Linked DNA regions of Caenorhabditis elegans. The protein of the gene in region 2 purifies or fractionates together with the protein of the main gene of each other region. This does not show direct contact. Each region holds a gene or a part of one and is shown on either strand. Other genes may lie near its edges.

What was found.
Region 1: the proteins of reps-1 (region 2) and flh-1 purify together in Caenorhabditis elegans (affinity purification with western blotting, with the first as the bait; one study listed by BioGRID). This does not show direct contact.
Region 3: the proteins of reps-1 (region 2) and vet-1 purify together in Caenorhabditis elegans (affinity purification with western blotting, with the first as the bait; one study listed by BioGRID). This does not show direct contact.

The regions. Positions count from the first base shown.
Region 1 is NC_003282.8:9,260,970-9,266,808, forward strand, and holds flh-1 (FLYWCH transcription factor 1), read right to left. Parts: upstream 3,295-5,839; 5' UTR 3,263-3,294; coding exon 3,246-3,262; intron 2,734-3,245; coding exon 2,508-2,733; intron 2,460-2,507; coding exon 1,689-2,459; intron 1,643-1,688; coding exon 1,133-1,642; 3' UTR 839-1,132; downstream 1-838. Other genes in the region: col-120 (Nematode cuticle collagen N-terminal domain-containing protein), read right to left, coding at 1-379, 427-526, 573-657, 708-784; Y11D7A.19 (NADH dehydrogenase [ubiquinone] 1 alpha subcomplex subunit 13), read right to left, coding at 4,841-5,227, 5,280-5,378. UniProt on the Caenorhabditis elegans protein: Probable transcription factor. Binds to the DNA sequence motif 5'-[AG]GGCGCCG-3' in the promoters of target genes, including micro-RNA genes, in order to repress expression, and acting redundantly with flh-2.
Region 2 is NC_003283.11:18,984,767-18,992,906, forward strand, and holds reps-1 (REPS (RalBP1-associated Eps domain-containing protein) homolog), read right to left. Parts: upstream 5,735-8,140; 5' UTR 5,603-5,734; coding exon 5,497-5,602; intron 4,564-5,496; coding exon 4,148-4,563; intron 4,048-4,147; coding exon 3,936-4,047; intron 3,067-3,935; coding exon 2,848-3,066; intron 2,721-2,847; coding exon 2,662-2,720; intron 2,219-2,661; coding exon 1,898-2,218; 3' UTR 1,208-1,897; downstream 1-1,207. Other genes in the region: mrps-35 (Small ribosomal subunit protein mS35 mitochondrial conserved domain-containing protein), read left to right, coding at 607-849; Y39B6A.37 (Structural protein), read left to right, coding at 6,092-6,639.
Region 3 is NC_003279.8:6,199,626-6,204,331, reverse strand, and holds vet-1 (Very Early Transcript), read left to right. Parts: upstream 1-2,255; 5' UTR 2,256-2,265; coding exon 2,266-2,372; intron 2,373-2,457; coding exon 2,458-3,307; 3' UTR 3,308-3,534; downstream 3,535-4,706. Other genes in the region: T05E7.1 (BAAT_C domain-containing protein), read right to left, coding at 1-42, 221-318; col-55 (Collagen triple helix repeat protein), read right to left, coding at 4,139-4,579, 4,636-4,659.

The DNA.
Region 1 (5,839 bases), on a different chromosome or scaffold from region 2:
CCATTTGGTCCACGTTCTCCCTGCTCTCCTGGTCTCCCGCATCTTCCATTTCTACCAGGCATACCATCCATTCCAGGTCGCCCAGAATTACCCTGAGGACCTGGATTTCCTGGTGGCCCTGGTGGTCCTGCTGGGCAATCAAGCTCAATTTGTGATCCATCAGAAGACGATTCTCCATCCAAATCTTGCCCATCTCGTCCAGGTTTTCCGGCTGGTCCATCTATTCCATCTCGTCCTGGTCGACCTGGGAAACCTGCTGGCCCAGCAAGACCAATTCCACAGCTGCAACAAGAATCGGAAGAAGATGAAGAAGAAGTGGATGCAGCGTCGTATGGAGATGGAGCTGGATGACTTCCAGAAGCTCGAGAGGGGGAAGAAGCTAATATTGAATTAGTTTCAAAAAGTCCCACAAAAGTTACAAGTTACCTCCATATCCAGCTTGTCTTTTTACTGGCCCTGAACCAACAGCCTTCGTTGATTCATACATATTTTCCAGATTCTTAGCCCCGTCAACACAAAATCCAACCTAAAAATGCAGAATAAATACCAAAATGTGAATAGAAATCACTTGCATCAGTTTGAACAGAGCTTTGAATATATTGTAGATATGTGTAAAGCCCAGGAATTAGAATAATGCACATGATTCCAGAAGCAGCACTGAAAATTTCCAGCTTGTACTATTCTGCCACGTGGAAATCGGAACATACCTGACAACAGTCGCCACGAAAGCAACTTTTCGAAGTTCATCCTCTTCAGAATTCACTAAATTCTTCTTCAAATTCATTTCTTCTTCCAATCACCTAATCATTTTCAACTGTGTTTTATATCATTCACGCTTATCACTTTACTGTTTTATTACAATCCTACAACGGATAGAACACGTTAAAAAATAAGGATAATTGATAGCAAGTCAAAGATAACATTACACATTATTAGTGGAATGGTTCAAAAAACATCTGGAAAAGGGAGGTAGATGTGATTTAGATTGAATCGTAGACTTAGGATGAGGTTTACATTGGGTAAAAACCAGTTTCGATGGAGAAATGTCACAGAAAATATTTAATGAGATAGGTGGAGAGTGGAGGAAATTTTACATTTTACACATATAAAAAACAATCAGTATTCGGTTAAATTACACAGCTTGATCATCCACATACATCAGTCGCCAACGGCTTGGATTTGAAATGTCGAGCAGGAAGAATTGATTATTGTCCCAATTATTCAACATGGGTTGATTGAACATTACACTGATCTTTGGTGAAATTCCGAAAAGAAGCATTCCGATACATTGTTGACCACAGAAGTCTTGAAGTGCCTCTTTTAAGTGTGCTTCATCACGGAGATTGATTCTCATTGGAACATAGAGATGCTCATCTGTTCCATCATTTTTAGAAAGGAAGAATTCAAAATGATGAGTCGGAGTCGTAGTAGTTCTTGGATATCTGTTCGGTTCTCCTTTCCACAGTTTTCTCAATTTTCTGGCAAGCTCGAAAGTTGGCTGGAACATCGGATCTCTTCTCAAATCATGTTCTTCATTCGTCAAATCAGTAGCTTTTCTTTTGATTGCTGGTTGTCTATATGAAGGTGAGTCGTAGTTCTCTGTTGGAATTATTAGTGGAGCAATTGTGGCGGTCTGCAATGGCTTAAAAATTATTATAGAATAAACTTTCAACACTAAGTTGACATACCAAGTTTGGAGACATATGCTGTGTGTATCTTTCAGGAGTGAATTGTTCGTTTTTCACCATATTTGACATCTCCGTTTTAATATTATTTAAAAATGGCATCTGCGCAAGGAGCATTGAATGAGACGTCATTGGAGCAGTGGCCGAAGTTGACTGGAGAAAAGACGCGACCCCAGAAGATGTGGGTATTGAGCCATTCTGCATTGCTTGCGCATAAGCTGCTCGAGCCGCCACAATTGATGATGCACTTTGTTGCTTCTGTTGTTCTTCTTCTTGCTGTTGAACGAGCCTCTTTGCAGCTGCTTCTCTATCCGCAACTTGCTTTCGGATCTTTCTTCGTTGATTTGGATCAGCAACATTTCCAACTATGTAGACACGATTTCTTTCGATATTCGTTGGGTCCAATCCATAAAGTCTAACTTCTTCATCTATTGGTGCACTGTGATTGTGCTCATGGATAAACGTGAGGATCTTTTCAGTAACAATATCCGTATGCATTCGTGCTTTACAAGTGTTCTTGTATTCACATCTCCAGAAATATTTCTTTTGACATGATGAAAGCTTGTCAAATGTCATGAAAAATCCGTTTGAAAACACTTTCAGACGAGTTTTCTTTGGGATATCAGTACGTGGAGAACCTGCATCTCTTTTAGCAACCGCAGTGGATCCATTGGCGAGAGCGGCGGTCAATAATTTTGACATGGTGAGGCCTGCGTTGTCTCCGAATCCACCGGCACTGGCACTGGCAAGAAGTGCCTGTAAAACAGCGTTGTTCTGAAATAACAATCAAATGAAATAACATCTTGGATAGAGGAAACTTACTTTAATAACGCTAGACATATCAATTCCGCTCGCGAGCAACTGGTTAACAGGAGCAGATGTAGATGCTTGGGACACAATCTCCATTGGTACAGCTGTGACAGAAGTCGATGGTTCGGAAGTTTCGGCTTCTCCATCATCGGATCTAACTTCAGGAGCATCCGCAAGACTTGGAGCATTAAGAGAAGACGACGACGGAGGGGATGGAGAAGATATGTTGGAGTTCATTCTGAAATTAATAAATTATTCTAAGTTACATGGAAGATAAGACCAATTGAGTGATGAGGTTAAAATAGGAAGTAAAAAACTATGCAGCCAGACGGTAGACCAAAATCCTATTGGAATGACATATTTGTAACATTAGCAGCGTTCGGGGGTCTAAGTCTCTCAACCCAACGGGGAAAGGGCGGGACATTATGGTCCCTTCTTCTGCGTCTCTCTGATTCATTTGTTGTCTCTTCTAATGACGTGCGCGGTCAGCCGCTCGCGGACCGCGTACGCGCACTCTTGGGTCCGTTCCACTGTTTACACCAAAGAGGTCCTTCGTGGGAGGGCAATCGCAGCAAACGGGAGCAAAAAAAGACGACGGCATGGAGGCAGCGGGGACAGATGGTGACGTTGGATTACAGTAGATAGGGCGATGTTGGGAGGGGAGAGAAGAACGCTAGACGTGAGAAAAGGGAGACATGTAGGATTAACAATAGAGGCAAGCGTTTTTTTATGATTGAGCAGGAGCCTTACGATTCTGGCGAATACATCCTCCGATATTAGATAATTGGAAGACGCCGTCCTGAAAATAAATTTAGATTTTATAAAAATTTCGAATAAAATAGATTAAGATGGCAACGTGTGTAAAAAAACAAATACTGCCTGTAAAATACAAAAGCGAAAAAAAAAACGATTTTTAAACAAATGTCTCATAGTTGAGAATATTTTGATTTATTTTTGGTTTTATTTTTAGATTTGGCAAAAATAATTTAAAATAATCCAAAAGGAACTTCTGTTTATTTAGGTTGGTTTTTTAAGCATTTGAGAGATTATAAGAATAACTTTCGGTTTTCTTATAATTGGAAATTGAAAATTACTATTTTAACGATTTAATATGAAAAGAAATTGCGAGAAACACAGATCTGTCCAGAGAAAAAACAAATGAAACGAAAAATGATGAACAGTTATGCGCGTGGACTACTGTCACTCATTGACGTTTTTTGTGCAATAACGGCTACGATAAATTGCGTATCACTGGAAACTTATTTGAACAGGCCTAAAAAACAAAATAGAATATTGCATGTTGCTTTGGTGGTCCACGAGGTTGTGAAAATGGAAAATGAAATATCAATAAGTCACCATATATATTTTTTACATAGTTGCAGCAGTTTCAAATAGGAATTCATCTCTAATGGGATGATGCAAGTGAATTTTTCTACATTTCTCAACAATTTATTTGCAATGCAAGTAAGCAGCGAAATGACGCGAAATTCGCAATTTTTTTACATTTATTTACATTTCTCTACATTTCTCGACGTGGGAAAAAACACTCATTTTTCGTCAAAACCACGTCTTTAGTTCATGACTTTACCTTCCCAGACGTTCACGTTTGTGAAAAGTAGTGTAAAATGGGAAAAATAAAAATAATTTGAGAATTTTAAAAGATAGATGCGTGGTCATTCAACGTGGTTTTGAATTCTAAAATTTAAAAATGATCAAGTTTGATTTTTCAAATTTGGCTGTTTTGCAACACCACGTTGAATGGCCACGCATCTATCTTTTAAAATTCTCAAATTATTTTTATTTTTCCCATTTTACACTACTTTTAACAAACGTGAACGTCTGGGAAGGTAAAGTCGTGAACTAAAGACGTGGTTTTGACGAAAAATGAGTGTTTTTTTCAAATGTCGAGAAATGTAGAGAAATGTAAAAAAAATGGCGAATTTTGCGTCATTATGCTGCTTACTTGCATTGCAAATAAATTGTCGAGAAATGTAGAAAAATTCACTTGCATCATCCCATAAAAAGCATTTTACTAGCACATATGAAGAAAATAACATTACAATATTATTTGAAAATTCAGAAACGATCATAATCTCTTCCTCTTCTAGCCCGTACGTGGTTTGGCTTTGGTTCTTTATCAAAAAAGGGATGCAGCCTTTTCGGCTCACAGTTAACAATTTGGTGTAAAATCCACTTGTTGCTTAAAGTATGCAGCCGAAAATATTCAACAGAATCAAATCTATCAAACATTTTTTGAAAATTAACTTTTGTTTATGGGGTGCTGAGATGTATACAAAATTTCGATCTGAAGAAGAGAAGAAATGCATTTTAAAAGACCTCAGAAGTCATGGGAACATTAATATTGTGTGGAAGAGAGCTTCATCAACCGATGTGAGTGCCACCAAACAAACGAATTCTTTTCTTGGAACATGATATATTTGTGGGAGTCTTATTCGTTCTTCTACTGTATTTCTCGATGGTTTTATGGTGTTCATCCAACTCTGAGCAAAACCAAATCCCATTGTAATATTATCTTGTGCTCGCTGTGACCAGTGCTCTGGAATTCCCCTTTTTGGGCTGTTTGGAGGTACTATTGGATCATATTCTTTAGGTTCTGTTACAGGAGACCTTGTTGGAGACGGTGAATTGTGACGAGACTGTGTTGGAGTTTTTTCTTCTGATGACAAAGGAGATGGAGGATCAAATGGAAAGTACTGATGAATGCGAGAATCCTGAAAGAGAACAAAGGTTGCTCAGAGTTCTCATTAAAATTCAAAAACTGACCTTTCTAGGAAAAATTGGTGGAACTATGCATGAGCGTCTTCTAGGATTACTGTATGGACTGGAACGTTGAGATGTATCATTTCTAAGAACATGCCGCATGTATTGTCTTCGTTTCCTTTTGGAGAATCTCTTACAGGTCTTGGAACTCTTTCAGTTCTTGGGGGCGTGACCATTAAATTTCGGAAAAATGGATGAAGATTACTATGATGTGATTCTTCAACTGTTTCATCTAAACTCTTTGTATCTTGTTCTGTTCGTACTTCATCGTCCACAATGCTCTGTGATCTTCTTCTAGGAGTACTTTGATTTGACATTCTGAGAAACTCAATATTCGATAGATTTGTAAACCGTATGAGGCAATTTAATATATGATAAGAACTTAAGAAAAACAAAAAAGGTAACAGGATACATAACAATTCATATGCGTAAAGTAAAAAATTTGGTTTTTACCAAATATATTTGGAAACTTTAGAGAGAAGCAAACGCCGAAGTAAAAAATATTTCTCCGATTTTTTTTTTCAATTTTTAGTTGATGAGAATTCTCAAAAAAATTTGAAAAA
Region 2 (8,140 bases):
TATCGATTTTTCTAAAAATTTATTGATTTTTCTAGAAATTATCGATTTTTCTAGGAATTTATCGATTTTTCTGGAAATTTATCGATTTTTCTGAAAACGTATCGATTTTTCTAAAAATTTATCGATTTTTCTGGAAATTTATCGATTTTTCTGAAAATTCAGTGCTTTTTGTAAAAATTTATCGATTTTACTGGAAATTTATTGATTTTTATTGAAAATTCAGTGATTTTTGTAAGAATTTATTTATTGATTTTTCTGGAAATTTATTGATTTTTCTAAAAATTTATCGATTTTTCTGGAAATTTATTGATTTTTATTGAAAATTCAGTGCTTTTTGTAAAAATTTATTGATTTTTCTGGAAATTTATTGATTTTTCTAAAAATTTATCGATTTTTCTGGAAATTTATTGATTTTTCTGGAAATTTATTGATTTTTATTGAAAATTCAGTGATTTTTGTAAAAATTTATCGATTTTTCTGGAAATTTATTGATTTTTATTGAAAATTCAGTGCTTTTTGTAAAAATTTATTGATTTTTCTGGAAATTTATTGATTTTTCCGGAAATTTATCGATTTTTCAGCCAAATTTCCAATGTTTTTTTCCAGAACCGCACCGACGCTCTGAAAGTTGAATTCGATGGCTCCAACACCAAAACCAAACTCATCGATTTACTGGAAAAAGCCAAGTTGACGCCTGGATTAAGCCCCAGCGCCGCCGGATGTGGAGATCAAAAATCGATTGACGAATTCGGAGAAATGTGGAAAGCCTATAGAAATAGCGAGGAAACTGTCGAAAAAACGCGGGAATACGGTCGTCAGATGAAGAAATTACTCGGAATTCAACAATAATTTACTGTTTTTTTTTAGTTCTGCTAAGATTATTATACATTCGTCACGAATGTGTAATAATTTTTTTTCTCGAAAATTTTTTGTTTTTTTTTTGTTATTCTAGCAGTTTTTATAATAGATCCCTCAAATTCTGTCAAAATTTGGAATTTTTTCCAAATTTTTAGCCGGATCTGTAATAATTTTTTTGTCCGAATTTTTTAGATAGTTCCCATCTTTCATGTTATTTCATTTTTTTTTGGAAAAATTTATATATATATATTTTCCAATTTTAAAAAATAGTTATTTTTAATGTGTGTAAAAATCAATACATACTTTATGATTTTTTTTTTCAAAAAAAAAAAAGAAGATAGTGTAATAGATTAAATTATCACAGAAAATAGAAAAATTGATGCTTATTTTAAAAAATTACAACATAGGTAAAAATGAAATATATATATGACATATCACAGAAATTATGAAGAAATATGCAGATTTTTTAGTTTTTTGCGGGGAATCTGGGGGAGAAATTGGTGGGAAATTCGAATTTTTGATAGAAAATAATTAAAAACTTTTTTAGAAGTTAAATTTAATTTCGGGAAATACCTTTTTCTCAGAAATTTTTGAAAATTTGCTCTAAAATGGGCAAATTTCATGTTTTTTAATGCGAAAAACCAGAAAAATCAATAAATTTTCCATAGAAATCGATAAATTTTCAGAAAAATCGATAAATTTTCAGAAAAATCAATAAATTTTCAGAAAAATCGATAAATTTTCAGAAAAATCAATAAATTTTCAGAAAAATCAATAAATTTTCAGAAAAAATAATTTTCCATAGAAATTGATACATTTCGAATTTTTTTGTTATTTTCCTAACCAAACGTAATAAATCTTTAAAAATTCTATTTTTCCAGCTAAAAATTGAGTTTTTTCCAAAAAAAAAATTTTTTCCGGAAAATTCGAAATAAAATGTGTTATTTCCTAGTTTTTCAAGCCGAAAAAAATTATTTTTTTCCTATTTTTCCTCAAAAATTCGAATTTCCCATCCATTTTTCCTCCACCGGGGATATCATTAAAGTGTAGAAGAAGAGCACGCAGTTTTGGATCTCTCTTCAAATTCCTGAATTCGTATTTCCAATTGAATCCGTACTTGAGCCAACCGTGCTCTTTCGGCTTCTAATTCCGAATTTTGAGTCCTCAAAGCTGTACAACGTTCCTTCCATCGTTCAATTCCTTGCCCATCAGTTGCCTGAATCTCTTCTCCAATTAAATCGTCGATTTGATGGCCGATTTTCGAGAAAAAGCTCTTCACATCTTCCTCAGAATAGAGTAATTCTGTAGTTTGTGTTGATGAATCTGTTGTGGTAATTCGTTTTTCCTCTTCGATGACTCTCTGCAAAAATATTGTGAATTTTTGGAGATTTTTCAGTGAAAAATTTGAAAAATTTGAAGAAAAATGGTTAAAAATGAGTATTTTTGAATTTTGGCGCTGCTAAAACTACAAACTACAAGTAAATTTTTAGCAGCCCGCCCAAGAAATTAGCAGCGCCCAAGAAATTAGCAGCGCCCAAGAAATTAGCAGCGCCCAAAAAAATAGCAGCGCCCAAAAATTAGCAGCGCCCAAAAAAATAGCAGCGCACAAAAAAATAGCCAAAAATTGTTTAAAAATCATATTTTTGTGATTTTCAACCTGTTCAGAAAATAAAAACTACACTAATTTTCGATTTTATCGCAATTTTGAAAAGTTTTTCTTAAAAATTCGTTAAAACGAATAATTTCAAACTTTGGGCGCTGCTAAGACTACAAACTACAACTAAAAGCTTTCCCTTAACTTACCGGTAGAGGTGACGGTGTGATTCTTTGTGGAATCGGCGGTGGAATACTGTCCGGGGTGGCTGAAAATTTGCGGAAATTGGGAATATTTTGATTTTTTCTCGAAAATTGAAAGCAATATATTTTTTGAAAAATTCCAGTTTTTTTAAAATTTTTTTCGAATTTCTGCCCAATTTTTCAGTCTCATACCAGGAAAAGACGCAAAAGTAGTCGTAGTCGTTGTAGTACTAATCGATTGAGCTGTCGGATCGGAATGTGATGACCAAAGTGATAGGGTAGTTGGTGGTAGCTGGGATTCCGCCGAGGCTTTTGTCTTATTCAATGCAATCAATTTCAAGTCAAGACTTGCACTTCTGTTGTGTCCACGTTGTTGTTGTTGTGGGCGGACAGGTGGAATTGGTGGGGGTCCTGAAAATATGGATTATTGATTTCGGGCGCTGCTCTTAGATTGCAAATACTACTAAATATTGAGTGTTGCGTGTTTTAATGAACTTACTTAATACTTAATACTTATTAATACTTATTTAGGTAATTAAATAACTAAGTTACTAACTACATACTTACGTAGTTAGTAATTTAATTACTAAGTTACTAATTAAGTACTTATTTAGATGATGATTAAATAAGAAAATTAGTAGTTAAAAACTCACTCTGTTACTAATTAAATACCCACTTAGTTAGTAATTAAATACTCACTTAGTAGCAATTTAATACTTCCTTAGTTACAAATTAAATAACTACGTTACTGATTAAATACTCACTTTGTTACTAATTAACACTAACAGGGTTAGTAATTAAATACTTACTTAGTTATTTAATTACTAACTAAGTCACTAATTAAATACTTCCTGAGTTATAAATTAAATAACTATGTTACTAATTAAATACTCACTAAGTTAGTAATTAAATTCGTATTGAGTTAGTAATTTCATAACTAAGTTTCTAATTAACTACTTACCAAGTTATATAATTAGCAACTCAGTAAGTATTTTAATTACTAACTAAGTCACGAATTAAAAACGTACTTAAATAGTTATTAATTAAATAATTAGTTACTTAGTCAGTATATAAATAACTATGTTACTGATTAGAAAACTAGGTTTTCTAAAACATTTGAATCGAAAACTATTGTAGTTTTTGTAGTATGACTGCTATTCAACTAGCAATTTTTCGAATAAATTATTATTAGTCAATAATTTAAACTTTTTATATTGTGTTCACACATTTGAGAAGTATAATAAACACTACAACAATTTCTTCAATGAATCCAAACTTACCCAGTGGACTCTTAAGTGCTAACAATGCAGAATGCTTGATAGCTGTTGGCCTACTGTCCACTAATAATGGCGGTGTATCCGAGAATTGTTTGATGATTGGCTGGTTTGCCCACTGGAATTGGAAAAATTCGAAATTAAAAAAAAAACGTCGTTAATGTTTTGAATGATGATACATATTCAAAAGTCAATTAAATTATTTCAAAAACCCCCACATTTTTCACTGGCCCATCAGCTTCTACATGTCCTGCACCGGCGGGACTAGGCGTCGCCGCAACTGTAGACGGAGCCCGTGGCTCTGTAAGTGGTGGCCGCGCGAAACCGGGTAGCACATCAGGAATCGGAACTTCTCCTTTCACTTTCAACACTACTAAATGCATCGCAATCGAGAATTCGTTTAAATCCAACCATCCGTCTTCATTCACATCGGCCAGCGACCAGATTTTCGATAAAGAGCTCATATCCAGCGAGCTTCTCTTGAAAAACGCTACAATTCGTTGATCGGCTCCGCAAAGGGCTCCGCAGAGGTCTGCGGCGCCTTGAGTGGTTTTTATTAAGTGACGGAAGCATTTTGTGTAGTATTCCTGCTGTTTTTCAGTGATTTTGAAGAGAGAATCCGCGTTGGAATCGGCTGAAAATTGGGGAAATTTGGATTTTTTCGAGTTTTTTAGCTTTAAAACCGAAATAATTTCGATTTTTGCAATTTTCCCTGAGAAAATGTGCTTAAAAATAGAAAAAATCGATTTTGGCGCCGCTAAACGGAAAAGCAGCGTCCAAAATTGTGTAGTTTGTAGCTTTAGCAGCGCCCAAAATTGTGTAGTTTGTAGCTTTAGCAGCGCCCAAAATCTTGTAGTTTGTAGTTTAGCAGCGCCCAAAATTGAATTAGCAGCGCCCAAACTTGTAGTTTGTAGTTTAGCAGCGCCCAAAATTGTGTAGTTTGTAGTTTAGCAGCGCCCAAAATTGTGTAGTTTGTAGTTTAGCAGCGCCCAAAATTGTGTAGTTTGTAGTTTAGCAGCGCCCAAAATTGTGTAGTTTGTAGTTTAGCAGCGACCAATATCTTGTAGTTTGTAGTTTAGCAGCGCCCAAAATTGTGTAGTTTGTAGCTTTAGCAGCGCCCAAAATTGTGTAGTTTGTAGTTTAGCAGCGCCCAAAATCTTGTAGTTTGTAGTTTAGCAGCGCCCAAAATTGTGTAGTTTGTAGTTTAGCAGCGACCAATATCTTGTAGTTTGTAGTTTAGCAGCGCCCAAAATTGAATTAGCAGCGCCTAAAATTGTGTAGTTTGTAGTCTAAGCAGCGCCCAAAAAATTCACTCAAAAACCTTCAAAAGTGGTTTTTTTAAATTAGTTTCATCTGTTTTATAGCGGAAATCTCTTCAAAAATGCGAAAAAATTTGAGAAAAATCGAAAAAGGTTATATTTTCATTAAAACTACTCATTTTTGAGGATAATTTTGCACTTTTTCCTAATTTTTCTGGATTTTTCACCGTTTTTCAGCTTAATTTCCACGTTTTTGCATCAAATTTGCCGATTTCGAGCTGAAATTCTTTATTTTTCAAAATAATCACCTGGACTCGTGTGCTTCAGACGTCTCGGACTACTAATAATATCGGCAGCGACTTTTTCAAAGTCTCCATTCGAAAAATATTGCGATTTTTTGTCGTTTTCTGTCATGGAAATTGATTTTTTCGCGGAAAAGCAAATAAAATAGTTGGTGCACGAGAAATGCGCCAGCGCACTGGAGATGCGCAAAGGGGGTTGACTGGCGCGATTCTCGTGCCGGCAAATTTATTTTTTCGTTTTGAAACGATGTTTCAGCTGAAAAACTCAATTTTCACAGATTTTTTGGGTAAAAATCAGTTTTTTAAAGCAAAAATTAATTAAAAAAGCGTTAAAATCTCCTATTCATACACCTAAAACGCTGAAAAATATCCATTTCCTAGTTGTATAATTTGTTTTTCAGTTTTAAAGTGGTTTTTCATGGATTTCGGGGTTTTTACGGGTGAAAACTATCAAATATCGGCAAGATTCAACCGATTTTCGAGCTAAATCTGAAATTTTTGCGAAAAATAATGAAATTCAGCCGGAAAATCGTATTTTTAAGGTTTTTTTTGCCCCAAAATTCGATTTTAACAGCATAACAATTATTTTTTCCAGGTTCTGATGCCCCAATCGTCCGAAATCCCGCAGATTCCTGAAAAAGCCCGAAATCTCACAAAAAGAGAGCTGAAAACGCTGAAAAATGCGCTCGGGAAGCAAGGATTAACGATGGAACAGCACGAAAATGCTCAAAAATCCACAAAACCCTGCGAAATCCTTCAAATCGACACTTTTTCGATTGATAATTCGAATTTAGAAGACGGCTGGTACGTTGGATATGGCGTCGAGTACAATGGCGTCGGAATTTCGGCCGCCGGGGGGGCTCCAGACAGCTCGGCGAGCAGTGAATCCGGTGATCTACCGCCGGCTGAAAATCGAGAAGCCGGCGGCGGGGAAAGCAGCGGATTCGATTCGGATCCACCGACTGATGATGATGATGATGAAGCACCGCAAGAGCTGCTGGAACGGCGAGAAAGTGATGATATTAGTGATAAAGGACAGCTTTTGTATGGATTGGACAGTGAATTTTATGTTGATAAGGCGCTGAAACCCACAAATGTCGAATTTCACGATAAAAATGACACGAAAAGCTTCAAAACTGGCGAATTTGTGTAAGTTTCGAGGAATTGAGCCCCACGTGGAAACTACAAACTACAAGTTTTGGGCGCTGCTCAAGCGATTTCCGCTGAAAAATCATAAAAATTCCCAAATTTTAACGAATTAAACAGAAAATTCCGTCGAAAAATGCGAAAAAACCGGCAATTTTGGTTAATTTTGAGCGAAAATGTGATTTTGGGCGCTGCTAAACTACAAACTACAAGTTTTGGGCGCTGCTAATTCAATTTTGGGCGCTGCTTAGAATACAAACTACAAGTTTTGGGCGCTGCTTAGACTACAAACTACAAGTTTTGGGCGCTGCTAACACTACAAACTACAAATTTTGGGCGCTGCTTAGACTACAAACTACAAGTTTTGGGCGCTGCTAATTCAATTTTGGGCGCTGCTTAGACTACAAACTACAAGTTTTGGGCGCTGCTAAACTACAAACTACAACTTTTGGGCGCTGCTAATTCAATTTTACGCGCTGCTAAACTACAAACTACAAGTTTTGGGCGCTGCTAACACTACAAACTACAACTTTTGGGCGCTGCTAATTCAATTTTGGGCGCTGCTAAACTACAAACTACAACTTTTGGGCGCTGCTAATTCAATTTTACGCGCTGCTAAACTACAAACTACAAGTTTTGGGCGCTGCTAACACTACAAACTACAACTTTTGGGCGCTGCTAATTCAATTTTGGGCGCTGCTAAACTACAAACTACAACTTTTGGGCGCTGCTAATTCAATTTTGGGCGCTGCTTAGACTACAAACTACAAGTTTTGGGCGCTGCTTAGACTACAAATTACAAGTTTTGGGCGCTGCTAACACTACAAACTACAAATTTTGGGCGCTGCTAAACTACAAACTACAACTTTTGGGCGCTGCTTAGACTACAAACTACAAGTTTTGGGCGCTGCTAATTCAATTTTGGGCGCTGCTTAGACTACAAACTACAAGTTTTGGGCGCTGCTAACACTACAAACTACAACTTTTGGGCGCTGCTAATTCAATTTTGGGCGCTGCTTAGACTACAAACTACAAGTTTTGGGCGCTGCTAATTCAATTTTGGGCGCTGCTTAGACTACAAACTACAAGTTTTGGGCGCTGCTAATTCAATTTTGGGCGCTGCTTAGACTACAAACTACAAGTTTTGGGCGCTGCTAAACTACAAACTACAAGTTTTGGGCGCTGCTAACACTACAAACTACAAGTTTTGGGCGCTGCTAATTCAATTTTGGGCGCTGCTAAACTACAAACTACAACTTTTGGGCGCTGCTCAAGGGAAAAATCAGTTTTTTTTTCTGAAAAGTATCGCCGAAAACTGAAAATCTCCAATTTTCTCCTCAAAAATTGCAATTTTCGCACTGAAATCTATGAAATCCCATAAAAAGATCTTAAAAAGACATTTTCTCATTGAAATTTGAGCTCAAAAATATACGAAAAATCGATAAATTTCAGAAAAAACACTAGCAATCGGGACATTTTGCTCCAAAAATTCCGTTTTCCGACA
Region 3 (4,706 bases), on a different chromosome or scaffold from region 2:
GCGACACAAAACGATGCATAGGTTCCACGGTCATAATGTAGTCTAAATGGGCAAAATTTTTGGCATAAAAATGAATTCTCGGGCACCTGTAGGCGCTCAGTAAGGCATGTTTATGCCTACAGCTTTATCAACATGATATCTACAGAATACACTTAAAACATCATGATCTTCAAAAACTCAAAGATACAAATGAAGAATAACAAAAAAATTGAGATCTCACCTCAAAATGAATGTATAACAACTCCATTCAACGAGCCCACTTGCACGAATATTAACCTTTTCAGTCTGGAGACTGTCCACTTTATCAACATGAAGCATTTCTTGAAAACCTGAAAATGTAAATAAGCACTTGATTTTCAAAGCAGTTTTTGGAGGTTTCTTTTTATCAATTCGAATTCTGCGATAAGAAATGTTGCATTTTGTTTGGTTTTCCATCTAGTTGATCAGAAAGAGGGAGGAGCTTTTTTTTTAGATAATCAAGTGACTACAAACCGATCAAGTGATTGTTACAATAGACTCTTAAAGTGCATTTCCCGAAAAAAAAATTGAAATTTGTCTAAAACCTGTTATTAAACTTTTTAGATGAATACTGATAGAAGGCAACAAATGCTTGAATAGCTTTAGTAAAGTAGAATATTACAAAGATCTTGCTAATTAAAAAAAATTATATACAAAGATTTGACTCATTATCAATTGTCTGATAGTCAGATTTGCATGCCACATTTTGAAATCATATTCTTTTTATTTCTTAAGAAAGAAAAAAAAATTTAAGAACAACATGCAAGTATTTGTGTGTTGAAAACTAGGGTAAATCAAATGGAAGTGTTGGTAATATTGGCAAATGTCTGAATAACTTCTGTATTTAGGAATTACAACAAATATTGGTGGGATTTCGTTTGTATTTTTGGTTTCAATAGATCAATGAAGCTACTTAAGTGAACGATTTAAAATAATTAAATTTCAGCCGAGTGTCATCGTCAGTCTAGAGTACATTTTATGGATTTTAATTTTCACTTTAAGGATAAAGAGGTGCCACAGTTGACAATAAAACGGATTTAATCTGGATATCAATTCATGTTCGGACGCTGCGACCGCCAAATAAATATATTACGTTTTTAATACTTCAATTCAGTCTTTCCTTTGTCTCTTTTTAAATCCTAGTTTGAAGAGCCCCATACATATAAACTTAACTTCCATTAGCTATTTCATGGTTCTATAAATCTAGGGTACCAGTTTTTGTGACCTTATATTTTGGTACCTTCTCAATCTGCCGTTTCAGGGAGAGGGAGACAATAAGCAGACGATCTCATAGAGCCTTTCTGGATATCGATCCAAATCCAGACGCTGTAATGAACTACCTAACATTCACTCTCATTCATGTTGTTCTCAATTCATTCTTCTCATTTTATCCAGGTCCCATTCGGTACGTTTATTTTTTTGTTCTTATTTTGATTGTTTTAATTTTCTGAGATATCCCAGTTGCAGTCCTAGTAAGTAATTGTGTATTTGTATTAATTCCTTTAAAAAATCTTCAACCGAAGACGAAAAGAGAATAGAGCCCTCTATTTCAGAATACTGACATTTCTAGTGTAAATAAAATAGTGTAAAAAAGTATTACTTTGGTTTTTCATGTACCGGATTTTTCCTGATCGTATTGCACGTATATCTGATTTTAAATAGCTTATATGGCCTTCGAGACTGCTAGATTTTCAATTAAAAACTGGAATAGCATATTTATAGCCAAAATTAATTTTTGAAACTTGAAAGTGATAAAATTTTTTTACATCTTTGAATGTTAACATTTTTTTCTTTCTTAAGGTTTGAGTGGGATGAAAGATTGATAAAACCTGCGAGATTTGTATCGATGGTACTGAATTAACAATAGTGGGAGCTAGATTAATTGGAATTGGAAATTTAGTTTCTTTCAACGTTTACAAAATGCCCATTTTAGTATAGCCATAGATTTGGAGTCAACTACATTCTGAATGACTTCTCTCGATCCAATCAATATATTATGTTCTTCGACAGAAGATCACCATACAATGCAACGCTTTTCCAAAATTGTGAATATCGATCCATATTTGGACGCTGTAAATTCTCACCATCGTTCTCTCTCACTGTTTTTTCGATCCAATTACTCATTCTCACCTAACATTCTCAAAAGGTGCATCTTTCCTTTTTTCATTTATTTATTTGCTCTAGTATTTTCTACTGCAGTTTCACTAAACGTTTCTTTTCAATTAAATATTTTTCAGAACTGAAACTATGTTTGCTGAAAATCCATTCTTCACTCCCACCGAGTCCAAGTTGAAATCGGAGATCGCACTTCTTCAAATGAAATTGGATGACGAACGATTTGATCATCAGAAAACGTAAGTTGTTTGAACTCTAGGACAACGTGCAACCTGTTATATAGATTATATTGTACTAACCCATTCTTAATATGTTCAATTTCAGACGACGAGAGCTTGCCAATTCTCGACTTGAGATCTCTGATCTGAAAGGGGAAGCGAAGTGCCATGATTCGGAACTCAATCGTCTCTACACAATAATCAATAATTTGGAAAAGAAGGTTGAAGATTTGAATGGAGAACATCAAAAGTCATTGGAAAAATTGAAAGAACGTCTTCATGAAAAGGATGCTTTTATCGAGGCTTGTGAAGAATTCTATGATGAGAAGAAGATCAATGTGAACAAAATGACATTGATGAAACAAGAAATGGAATTGAAGAGAATCAAAAAGAACTTTGAAGAATACAAGGAAAGAATGACTGAAGTTGAGAAAAATTTGAACGAATTTATCAAAAGACAATCGGCCATTTGTATGGGAGTGAGATATGAATTGAATATGGAAAAGGATTCGAGAGAGAGATATTTCAAAGAAGCTCAACAATTGAAACAAGAGAAAGATGTATTGGTACATGAAATCAATGAAAGAGAAGTCAGAATTTTGTGTCTGAGAAGTGATATTCTTACATTGAAATCTGAAAACAACGACACCTCTAAGGAACTTGATGAAATGAAAAATGGAACCAAAGCTTTGAAACATGAACTTGAAGAGACCAAGAAAATGAAATCCGAAGCCTTGTCGAAATATGAAGAATCTCAAAAAGAGTTCGAACAGTTCAACTTGAAGTTCCAAAGATTGTGCACAAAGTTCTACGAGGAACGTGTCTCTTCTCAGACAACTTCACCTAAAATGAAAGAACATCTGGCATCTGCTAAGAAACGATTGTCTGCTATCAAGGAAACACTCCAAAATGAAGAAGATTTTGATGAAACCGGAGAAGTAACCAATTATCAATAATTTAATATCACCCAATTACTTTTTCCGTGTTAATTTTTCTTCTTTTAGCTACTATCGCTTTTTTAGCATTTTTTCGATTTGATACTATTGCTTTTACTTTACCATTTCCATTGCACTTTTTCGTTTGTTGTAATACGAAACAATACGGCTTAATTTTTCAACGCCTCGGCATTCTTTCAATCCATCTTAAAATGTTACTCTCTTAATTATTCAATAAATGTTTCATTAAATATCGGAATCACTTTTTAACGTGGATTTTTATAACCAAACAGGTGTACGAAAAGTTTACTATCAATTTTAAATAACAGGCAGAATCAGAGAACTTCACATCGAAACACAACATGAAAAGTAAAACACACGACTAGCGATAAAAACTGTTGGAAAAATCAATCAAATTCAAGAGGAATTTGAAAAGTACGTGCTGAAGGTGGTAGATTAGTGAAAGCTATTACAATATTTCCAACAATTGTGGTTTCATCTTCCATGTTCTTTTTTGAGTGAAATCGAGATGAGTTTTTTGAGAGAGTACTCTAGAATCTGTAAAAGTCGATGATGTAGCGAAAAAGTGCAAATATCATTTTTGCATGAAAAACTAAAACTGATTAGATAAGAAATGACAACAATGGTTAATGATGTTGACCTATGCTCTGCTTGTATACCGTGATTAGTGTCTTTGAAATCAATTCCATAAAATAAAATACGTGAGTGTGAGTTCAAATATACCATTAGAAGACAGTTCAGACCTAGAAAATGTTTTGCAACCAGTTTTGTATATTCTCGAATTAACAATTTTTATGCAAAATGATTTATTTGTAGGAAAACAAAGGGAAGCTAAGCTGAAACCTTGTCAACACGCTTGCGGAAGACCTTGCGATGTTTACGAACTACAACGGAACGAGATGGGCATGGACAATGAGCAGCATCTCCTCCTGGAGATCCAGAGTTTCCTGGCGCTCCTGGAGTTCCTTGTGCACCGGCTTGCCCTGGCTGTCCTGGTGCTCCTGAGGCTCCTGATCCACCAGATTGTACTGGTTGTCCTGGTCCTCCGGCTGGTCCTTGTGGTCTTGGTGCTCCTGGTTGTCCAGAAACTTCAACATGTCCTTGCTCTCCTTGTGCTCCAGGCTGACCTGGTGGTCCTGGTGGTCCAGCTGGGCATCCTTGAGATTGGGATTCACAGTTACATTGTGCTTGACGCGTGTTGGCTCTACGTTTAATTCTTCCAAAGACATCGATTGGTTTCACCATTGAGTTCCATGCCTGTTGTTCGTTGAACTGAAACATTAAAAATATGCAAATGTTTTTCGAAGCTTTGGTTAAAAAAAATATACTTTGAACTCAGTCATAGTATCCATAACCTCATCGTAGAAGGAATTGATATCATTGAAACTATATCCAACAG